Linked DNA regions of Oryctolagus cuniculus. The protein of the gene in region 1 interacts with the protein of each later gene in a biochemical or structural test. Links are inferred from orthologs where the notes say so. Each region holds a gene or a part of one and is shown on either strand. Other genes may lie near its edges.

What was found.
Region 2: the proteins of SMAD3 (region 1) and JUN form a complex in vitro, tested with the Homo sapiens proteins (3 studies listed by BioGRID). The link is inferred for Oryctolagus cuniculus from reciprocal best matches to the Homo sapiens genes SMAD3 and JUN.
Region 3: the proteins of SMAD3 (region 1) and PIN1 form a complex in vitro, tested with the Homo sapiens proteins (2 studies listed by BioGRID, with this or other methods). The link is inferred for Oryctolagus cuniculus from reciprocal best matches to the Homo sapiens genes SMAD3 and PIN1.

What each region holds. Positions count from the first base shown.
Region 1 is NC_091443.1:89,967,340-89,970,614, reverse strand, and holds part of SMAD3 (mothers against decapentaplegic homolog 3), read right to left. Parts: intron 1,549-3,275; coding exon 1,425-1,548; 3' UTR 1-1,424. UniProt on the Homo sapiens protein: Receptor-regulated SMAD (R-SMAD) that is an intracellular signal transducer and transcriptional modulator activated by TGF-beta (transforming growth factor) and activin type 1 receptor kinases.
Region 2 is NC_091438.1:114,258,943-114,261,624, reverse strand, and holds JUN (transcription factor Jun), read right to left. Parts: upstream 1,620-2,682; coding exon 606-1,619; 3' UTR 505-605; downstream 1-504. UniProt on the Homo sapiens protein: Transcription factor that recognizes and binds to the AP-1 consensus motif 5'-TGA[GC]TCA-3'.
Region 3 is NC_091447.1:67,370,518-67,374,165, forward strand, and holds the end of PIN1 (peptidyl-prolyl cis-trans isomerase NIMA-interacting 1), read right to left. Parts: intron 1,568-3,648; coding exon 1,457-1,567; intron 669-1,456; coding exon 559-668; 3' UTR 144-558; downstream 1-143. UniProt on the Homo sapiens protein: Peptidyl-prolyl cis/trans isomerase (PPIase) that binds to and isomerizes specific phosphorylated Ser/Thr-Pro (pSer/Thr-Pro) motifs.

The DNA.
Region 1 (3,275 bases):
GCCGGAAGTCTCATCACATCCGAGGCTCAGAACCTGCCCAAACACGCACTTCCTGGAGTAAGACAGGACTTCCATAGGAAATCCCTTTACTTTTCCTGGTATAAGTCCATGCAAAAAAGGTGAGATACGTCATTTCATCCAAAAAAAAAAAAAAAAAAAACCAGCAGCAAAGAAGAAAGTACCAATTGCAGGTGACGATTCCGTCTGCTGTATTCTGCAAAAGGCCCGTGAAAGAAGAGGGCCCCTTTTTCCAGTTGAAATAGTTTGTGCTCGTGGGCTCACCCGGCGTAGCTGCCAGTGTCATCACCAGGGCCGCCTGCAGTCTCCAAAGGCGCAGAACCACTGTGCGCGGCCTTCGCACCGGCCCGTGGGCCTGCGAGGTTCCCCTTCCGGCATGTTTGCTCCCGGAAGTGTCAGCTTCCAGAAACGCTGGCGGCTGCCTCCTTGGGAAGCCGGGAAACACTTCACCTTGGGACGGTTGTTGGAGGAGCCCTCTCTTAGCTCCCAGTAATGCGTCAACCCAGGGTGTCGTGTCGTGTTTTTCCTAATCCGGAGCAGACATTTAAAAGAGCATACAATAAAGTTGATTTAATTAACACGATGGACTGCATGAACCAGTGCACGCTCTTAAAGGCGGGAGACACAGTCCGGGGCCGCCGCAGCCCACACGCCACCTGCCTCCTGCTGCGTGTGAACACCTGACGTCGTTCGAATCTCTTTGAGACTGATGCGATAATAGAAACCATACATTGCGTTCGCACGGGGCCTCAGCAGATCCTTCCAACTTTTCGAAGTGAGAAAGGACACATTTTAAGAGTTTTGAAAGAGGAGGTGGCGCTTTCGCCACTGTCACGTGTGCAGTGCTGAACACACAGCCATCAGTATGCTCTGAGAGTGGATGGAGCTGCCCAAGCCCCCTGCCCGTCCAGCCTCTCAAGGCACAGGGCCTGCAGGACAGGAGGCTTGGCTGGGAGCCCCGGAGAAGAGGCAGGAAGTCTGCCCGTGGCCAGGCAGGCTTTGCCCCCTACCTAGAACATCCTTCGGAGGTGAACTTGACACAGCGGTCCCAGACAGAGGGGGCACCTCCTGTTGAGCCGGGACATCCCACGTTGCTATCATGAAGAGAAGGAAGCGGCAGGGGAGGGGCAGGTGGTGAAATCCCACCCACTCACTCCAGGCCCCCAGAGCAGACACCATCCTCGTCCTCGAAGCAGGGCCAAAGGGCAGTCGGTGCGTTCAGCAGACGCAGCCCTTCGGAAGTGCTGCTCCTGTGCTCACCTCTGTTTTAGAAAACAGGCTGGTGCCACCGGAGGGAGAAAAAGTCCTTCTTCCTTGACAATAATCAATGGATCAGAGTTCGAATATTCGCGCCCTCCTCACGGTCACTGCCCCAGCGCAGCCCCTCCCCCTCCCCGCCCACACCTCTAGGACACACTGGAACAGCGGATGCTGGGGGAGCCCATCTGGGTGAGGACCTTGTCCAGCCACTGCAAAGGCCCATTCAGGTGCAGCTCGATCCAGCAGGGGGTGCTGGTCACTGTCTGTCTCCTGCAAGAAACAAGGCAGGGTTGCAGGTAGGGGACGTTTAAAAACGTCCAGGAGGAAACACAGGCAAGTCACAACACCCTCCTCTGTGACAGTCTTCCCCCCCAAAGCCAGCTACACCGTAACCTGGCTCCATGCTGCCCTAGAGGAGGTCCCAACCATCCGCTGAAACTAGCAGGGCCAAGGTCCCTGAGCAGATCCCGAGCCGGGGAATGGGGGGAGGGAGGTGGCCCGAAAGAGGTAAATGTGAAGTCAAGGCCAGGGCACCCCCAAGGCCCCGCAGTGGAAGCCCTCCAGGCCAGCTCCTGTGTGTCCCAGGTGGGCACCAGCGGCTCCAGACACAGGCCCGGCCCGGCCCGGCCCGCCGTGGTGATGCGTGTCTGTCTGGCGGAGGGGCGTTCCGAGCAACGCACCGACAGCGCACATGCCTTCCGCTCCCCATGTGCTGATACAATTCCCATCTACGGCCTTATTTTGGAAAATCTTCCGAGCAGAGCGAGCCATGGAACAATTACTGGAAAAAACCGAGGCGCACCCCAAAGCACTCCGTCTCAATTCAGGCTGGCGGATGACGCAGCCCGCAGGCCGGCTCCCCGAGGCTATCTGCTGAGGCCGCGGTGGCCCGTGCCAGCTGGAGGTGAGAGCAGCGGGCCTGGGCCCTGCCCTCGGCCTCCTCGCACAGACAAGGGCTGAAACCCTACTCCCCTTGGCCCGAGACGCAGGAGGGCGGCAAGACTCTTCCGGGAAGGGGCCGCGCCTGCCCGTCGGGCTGCCGTGCGGCACTGCCAGGCGGCGGTGACGCGGTGGGCTGCGAGCACGGCGTGTGCTGGCCCGGCGGCCTGCCGGGGAGGGCGTCTGCCGCCGAGGAGCCCCTTGGGGCACGCAGGGCTGGACGGCCGCAACGCCGCACTGGGCCGGGCACTGCCTGCCTGGCCTGGCCTAAGCACCCCTGCCCGCTGACGGCCCTGCAGGGGTCCACCTGATGGAAGGGACCATGCGTGGCCCCTTGGGCTACAGTCCGGGTGTGAGAAGAGTGAGCAAATGGACTTCCCCTGGCTCTTCTCCACGGAGGGCCGCCTTTAAGTATTTCCCTTTCCCTGTCTTCTCCAAAAAAAAAAAAAAAAAAAAAAACTAACGCTAATCTTCCACTCTTGTTCCCTACCTGGTCCGTGCCAGGGCTAAAAGGTCAGTTTGGGTGCTTCCCGGCTGGCCCGCTGGGCCTGGGCTAATCTCTGCAGCCGTCAGAAGACGGCCGCCAGTTCTGAGGTCTGACCGCCATGCCGGCTCCACGGATCACCGGTGCTGGGTTTCAGCAAGACCCCGGAGACCACGCCACTGCGCTCCCCAGCCCCGCGGGGCAGCCCCGAGCACGGCAGCCCAAACACGAGGAGGACGACCGTGCGGGGCGAAAGCCTCTAATGAGAATCCGACTTTCCATAAGTCACGCTCATCTGGATCTCATTATGAACGGTGGCCCCGCGCCAACACTGAAATGGGTTTGGCCTGGGTGCAGAGTGACTGCAAAACAAAATGGGAGTCCAAACATCTGGAAAAATGAAGGGGAGAGTAACTCGCACGGCGCTGGCTCCAGCTGACGTGCGGGTACCGCAGCGTCTGCCGCAGGCACAGGCCGGGAGGGGGGCGGGAGGGGCCCACGGCCCTGCTGCCCAGGGGCACTCTTGTTCACCTGGGCTCTGCTCTGCAGACCCACGCCACGGTGTTCCGCAAGA
Region 2 (2,682 bases), on another chromosome or scaffold:
AACTTACAAAGGCATGAAGCTGTTTATTGACAGTAATCAGCTTTCATCAAATTAAAAAATAGATATCTGTACATACACGGTTAACGAAGGCAGGCCAGAAAGAGTGTATCTGCAGGCTCAGCCTGGCCCTCCCCGGCTCCCTCCCCGCCCCCCGCCGCCCCTCCCCAGCCCTCCCGGTCGGGTTCTTAAGGAGTACTACAGAAGCGATCTACAGTCTCTATGGCAGTTTGTCACCCCGCCCCTCCCCCCCTTTAATACTGAATGAGATCGAATGTTAGGTCCATGCAGTTCTTGGTCAATGTTAAAGAAAAGTCTACCGTCGTGATGGCGCGGGGACAGCCCTTCCGCCGAGCGGGGCCGCCCGCAGGCGGCCGCTCCCTGGCTCCGCGCCAAGGGGAGCGCGCGCCAAGTCCTTCCCACTCGTGCACACTGGGGGCGCCGTCAGGACGCAACCCAGCCCGGCTTGGATACCCTTGGCCTTAGTCCTCGGACGCGTCTTTTTTATTTTTTTCTCGCTGTCGCAACCGGTCAAGTTCGCAAGACTGTCTCTCTGTTGGTTTTGTTTTCTTTTTCTTCGTCGCCCCTCAGCCCTCGACAGTCTGTCCTCAGAACGTTTGCAACTGCTGCGTTAGCATGAGTTGGCACCCGCTGTTAACGTGGTTCATGACTTTCTGTTTCAGCTGTGCCACCTGTTCCCTGAGCATGTTGGCCGTGGACGCCAGCTCCGAGTTCTGCGCTTTCAAGGTTTTCACTTTTTCCTCCAGCCGAGCGATCCTCTCCAGCTTCCTTTTCCGGCACTTGGAGGCGGCGATGCGGTTCCTCATGCGCTTCCTCTCCGCCTTGATCCGCTCCTGGGACTCCATGTCAATGGGGGACAGGGGCGGCGTCTCGCCGGGCATCTCGGGCACGGTCTGCGGCTCCTCCTTGAGCGCCTGCAGCCGCGGGTGCTGCACGGGGATCTGCTGGGGCAGGTGGTGCGGCGGCTGCGGCGGCGGCGGCGGCTGTTGCTGCTGGGGCTGCGCGGGAAAGGCCAGGCCGGCCGCGCCGTAGGAGGGCGCCCCGCCGCCGCTGCTCAGCGCGCTCGGGTTGAAGTTGCTGAGGTTGGCGTAGACAGGCGGCTCGCTGTGCAGGCCGGCGCTGAAGCCGCCGCTGCCGCCGCCGCCGCCCGCCACCGAGGCCACGGCCGGAGCCACCATGCCCGCCCCGCTGACCGGCTGCGCCGCGGACGTGACGCTGGGCAGCGTGTTCTGGCTGTGCAGCTCGGCCAGGGCGCGCACGAAGCCCTCGGCGAAGCCCTCCTGCTCGTCGGTCACGTTCTTGGGGCACAGGAACTGGGTGGGGGTCGGCGTGGTGGTGATGTGCCCGTTGCTGGACTGGATGATGAGGCGCTCCAGCTCGGGCGACGCCAGCTTGAGCAGCCCCACGTCGGGAGAGGTGAGGAGGTCCGAGTTCTTGGCGCGGAGGTGCGGCTTCAGGCTGCCCACCGGGTCGGCCAGGTTCAGGGTCATGCTCTGTTTCAGGATCTTGGGGTTACTGTAGCCGTAGGCGCCGCTCTCGGTCTGCAGGAACGAGGCGTTGAGGGCATCGTCGTAGAAGGTCGTTTCCATCTTTGCACTCATAGAACAGTCCGTCACTTCACGTGGGCTTACTTTGGGCTGCGCGCACAAGTTTCGGGGCCGCGACAGCGCGCTGGCGGGCGGGGAGCACCCCGCGCCTCCCCGGGCCTCTGGCAAAGGAAAAGTTTCGGAGCGCGCGCGCACCCGCGGGCTGTCTTCCCCCTGGGCGCCCCGCTCACCGGCCCCCGCTCCCGGGAGCGGCGGGGTTCAGACGCTCGCCCGCACTCCTCGGCCGCTCGCGCGCGCCTGCCCGCCTTTGAAAAGTCGCGGTCACTCACTGCGCGCCCTTCGGAGGCTCCCCGGCGGCGCGGCGCGGTGCCCCGCAGTGGCGGCGGGTCTCGGCCGCCCGGACTCCCGGAGACTGTGCCCTCTTCCGCTGCGAGGGGCAGGGGGCTCCCGGCGGCAGCGGCTCGCGCCGGTCAAGTTCAGAGGCCGGGGCGAGCGGAGCCGCGCGCGCGTCGCTCCTCTTCGCTCCTCTCTCCGCCGCCTTGCTTTTCTTTGCTGCCGCCGCGGCAAGCCCAAATAGCGCAGGAAAGGTTTGCAAAAGTTCGCTCCGGGACTCCGGGCCACTTGTCCCCGGTCCTCCCGGCTCGGAAAGTTCTTGGCCGCTGCAGTCGCCGCTCTCCGCGGCTGTCAGCTGCGCTCGTGCGGTGGGGCTCTCCTCCCCGGGGGCGGCTGGAGAAGCAGCAGCTCTCCAGGTGCTCCCCCCAAACACCAGCCCGGGATCCACAGGCGCTAGCGCGGGGCAGTTGGCAAAGCAACGCAGCCGTGCGGATCGCACTCTACGGGCGTCCTGGCGGGGCGGGCGGACTGTGTCTGTGTGTCTGTCTCCCTCAATCCGCGCACCTCCACTCCCGCCTCGCCGCTTCAGCCACACTCAGTGCAACTCTGAGCCCTTATCCAGCCCGAGCGCAACACTTATCTGCTACCAGTCAACCCCTAAAAATAGCCCATGATGTCACCCCAAGGCCTTCCCATTGGCTCGCGTCGCTCTCTGGGGGGCGGGCCCGCCCGTCGCCATGGAGACCCCACCCTAGAAGATTCTTCTTCGGGCCCGCGGAGGCTC
Region 3 (3,648 bases), on another chromosome or scaffold:
TGCTGGGAAGAATTCCCTCGAGGTTTCCTCAGGTCCAGGAAGAGGGGCGGCCTGTCAGGGATCACCCGGACATCTGGGATGGAGGATGGTCCCCTCCCCCCCCATGCCTCACAGGGAGAAAATGAGACACAGGACAGCAGAGCAGTGGTTCTGGGTTTAATCGAGGATGAAAAGGGTGCTGTGCTGTGGCCCAGAGGACCCCCAACCAGGCACCCCACGTTCGTTCGCATTTTCAACTGAATAGAGGAACAAGGTGTAACTAGAAACAACAGCGCAGGCGCCTGCCCGCCTCCAGGCCCCGGGCAGCTGAGAGGACTAGGCCTCTGGGACCCATCACCCCTCCCCAGGGCCCAGGCGCCTCCCCAGCCCCGCTGCCCTTCAGAATTCCTTGAAGCCAGGCATTGATGGCCCCAACTGCAGGTGGGTGGGTGGGGAGCGGGGACCCCAGAGCTTCCTCCCAGCCATTTAGGGTACAATAAATACTGTGTGGCAGCGGCAGGGGGAGCAGGGGCTGCAGCCCCGCCCGCCCCGCCCGCCGGCCCCAGCCACCCACAGCCCTCACTCTGTGCGCAAGATGATGTGGATGCCGGAATCTGTGAACACAGGCCCGCTCATCTCCCCTGTCCGCAGCGCAAACGAGGCGTCTTCGAATGGCTTCTGCATCTGACCTGGGAATGGGGAGGGCCGGGGAGGGAGGAGAGGTGTCAAGGCCGAGGCGGGCAGGCGGGGACGGCGCAGATGGGGCTCCTGCCTGCGCTGAGCCTCGCGCTCATCTGCGCTCATCCGTCACCCACTTTATGGCCCTGTCACGGTGCAGCGCTGTGGCTCAGCTGGGGGTGGCGGGGCCATTACGGAGGCCCTGGGAAGGCGAGGACAGCATGAGGGATGGCAGGCAGAGCTGCCACGGCCGCACATTTAGAGGCGCATTCTGGTGATGAACTGTCCTCCCAGCGCCTGGCTCCCCGCCCGGCCACAGCATCTGTCCTGCTGGCCTCGCGGGGGCATCAGGGAGCCACAGCCCCTCGTGGCCTTCCCCACTCTCCCACACCCCCACCCCATCCTGGGCCCCCGGCCCCTGCCCTGGCCAGACAGGCCGACTAGGGCTGCCCACCCGAGCTGCTGCCCTCACCCACGGTTTCCCCACCTCTGGGAGTAGAGTGGCAATGCTGGGGGACATGCCCTGGGGCACTGAGGGGCCCAGCCTTACACGAGTGCCCAATGACAGGACACAGCCTGCTTGGTGACCCACGATGTTCTGCAGCCCTTACTCACCCCTCCCTCCCCTCTTCCCCCAGCAGGGAGAGCCTCTGAGGCCCCAGGGAGGGACTGTGCTGCCACCTAGTGGACCCCGAAGGCCTGTGCAGCAGGGACTGCTCCGGGGAGCCAGGCTGGCCCACTCCAGTCTCTACCCACTGAGGGCGGCAGTGGGGGTCAGGGCTGGTGCCCACTCTCGCACCTCTGCTGAAGGCACCCAGGTCTCCCCTGGCCTTGGCCGAGCTGCAGTCGCTGAACTGCGAGGCCAGAGACTCAAAGTCCTCCTCTCCCGACTTGATCTTCTGGATGTAGCCTGTGGACAGGACAGGGGAGGCTCCACGTCAGGAGTGGGGTGAGGCCCTCACTCCTGGAGCAGCTGTGCACACCCTCCCCAGTGCCACCCGCTGTAGTGTGTCCACATACATGCACAACCCTGCAGTACGGACAGCCACGCTGGTCTCCCCAGCCCACGCGTGCGCACACACATCTCAGAGAAAAATCTAAACCAAGCCCAACGGGGTGGAGGAGAGCAAGGCACCGGGAGAGGCTCTGGACTCGGCGGCAGGGGGCTGGGGTCCTCAGAGCAGGGCTGGGGGAGTTTCCTAGAGAGGGTTTGGGGGACAGGCCCAGTTCTACCACGGGAATCCACCGAGGCCCAGCCTGCGGGCCCCAGCTGTCAGATCTGGGGCAAGTGGGAGGGGTGCTGGGAAGAGACCCCCATGTGGCCCGGGTAGGGCTGTGCAAGGCCTTTGCACTGTGGCCCCAGAGCCACACGACTCCTACTCCAGCACTTCCCCAGTGCACAGAGCACGGCGGCACAGACGCGTGACTGGGCACACCCACACACATGCACACTCCCAGTGGAAAGGAGCTGCCAGTTGTCGCCGTGTGCATGTGTGACCACGTGTGACAGGGCGCACACATACACGTGCACACACCCCCAATGGAAAGGAGCTGCCAGTTGTCATTGTGTGCATGTGTAACTGTGTGTGACAGGGCACACACATACACGTGCACACACCCCCAATGGAAAGGAGCTGCCAGTTGTCATTGTGTGCATGTGTGACCACGTGTGACAGGGCACACACATACACGTGCACACACCCCCAATGGAAAGGAGCTGCCAGTTGTCATTGTGTGCATGTGTGACTGCGTGTGACTGGCATACACACACAAACACACACACACACACCCAATGGAAAGGAGCTGCCAGTTGCCGCCGTGTGCATGTGTGACCACGTGTGACTGAGCACACACACACATGCACACACTCCCGATGGAAAGGAGCTGCCAGTTGCCGCTGTGTGTGTTACTGCATGTGACAGTGCACACACACACACACATCCTCCAATGGAAAGGAGCTGCCAGCTGTTGCTGTGTGCATGTGTGAACATGTGTGACTGAGCGCACACACACACACACACACACACTCCCGATGGAAAGGAGCTGCCAGTTGCCGCCGTGTGCATGTGTGACCACGTGTGACTGGGCGCACACACACAATGGAAAGCAGCTGCCAGTCGCCCTCCTGAGTCCAGGCAGCCCTCGAGGTGGGCAGCAGCCTGTGCTTCCCTGCCCTCCACGGGCCCTCCAGCACGCAGGGTGGCCTTGCCGGCCCCTTCCCGGGCTGCACAGCTGCCATCCTGAGCAGCTCCCGAGGCTCGCCGTCCATTCCCAGCTCGGCCAGCAGCCAGTCCCCAGGGGGCTCTGGGGGCCGCACACCTGCCGGCGGGGTTCACAGCACCCTGACACTGCCACCTGTTGCTCCTGTCTGCCCATGGACCTGCCAGGTGTGAACGTCACTGACACGGCTGCCTGGCATGTGCCCGAGCGCTGGCTGATTTAATCGGTGCTGGGTGGCCTGGAAAGCCAGCCTGGGCGTCTGCCTGAGGCTGGGCTGCTGCAGACTTCCTCAGAGTCTGGTCTGACCTACACACCACACGCTACCTGCACACCACCACACTCTACCTCCTGCGACTCTACCTACACACCATCACACTCGACCTACACACCACCACACTCTACCTCCTGCGACTCTACCTACACACCACCACACTCTACCTCCTGCAACTCTACCTACACACCACCACACTCTACCTCCTGCAACTCTACCTACACACCACCACACTCTACCTCCTGCGACTCTACCTGCACACCACCACACTTTACCTGCTGTGACTCTACCTACACACCACCACTCTACCTCCTGCGACTCTACTACACACCATCACACTCGACCTACACACCACCACACTCTACCTCCTGCGACTCTACCTACACACCACCACACTCTACCTCCTACGGCTGTACCTACACACCACACTCTCTACCTACACACCACCACACTCTACCTCCTACGGCTGTACCTACACACCACCACACTCTACCTGCCTA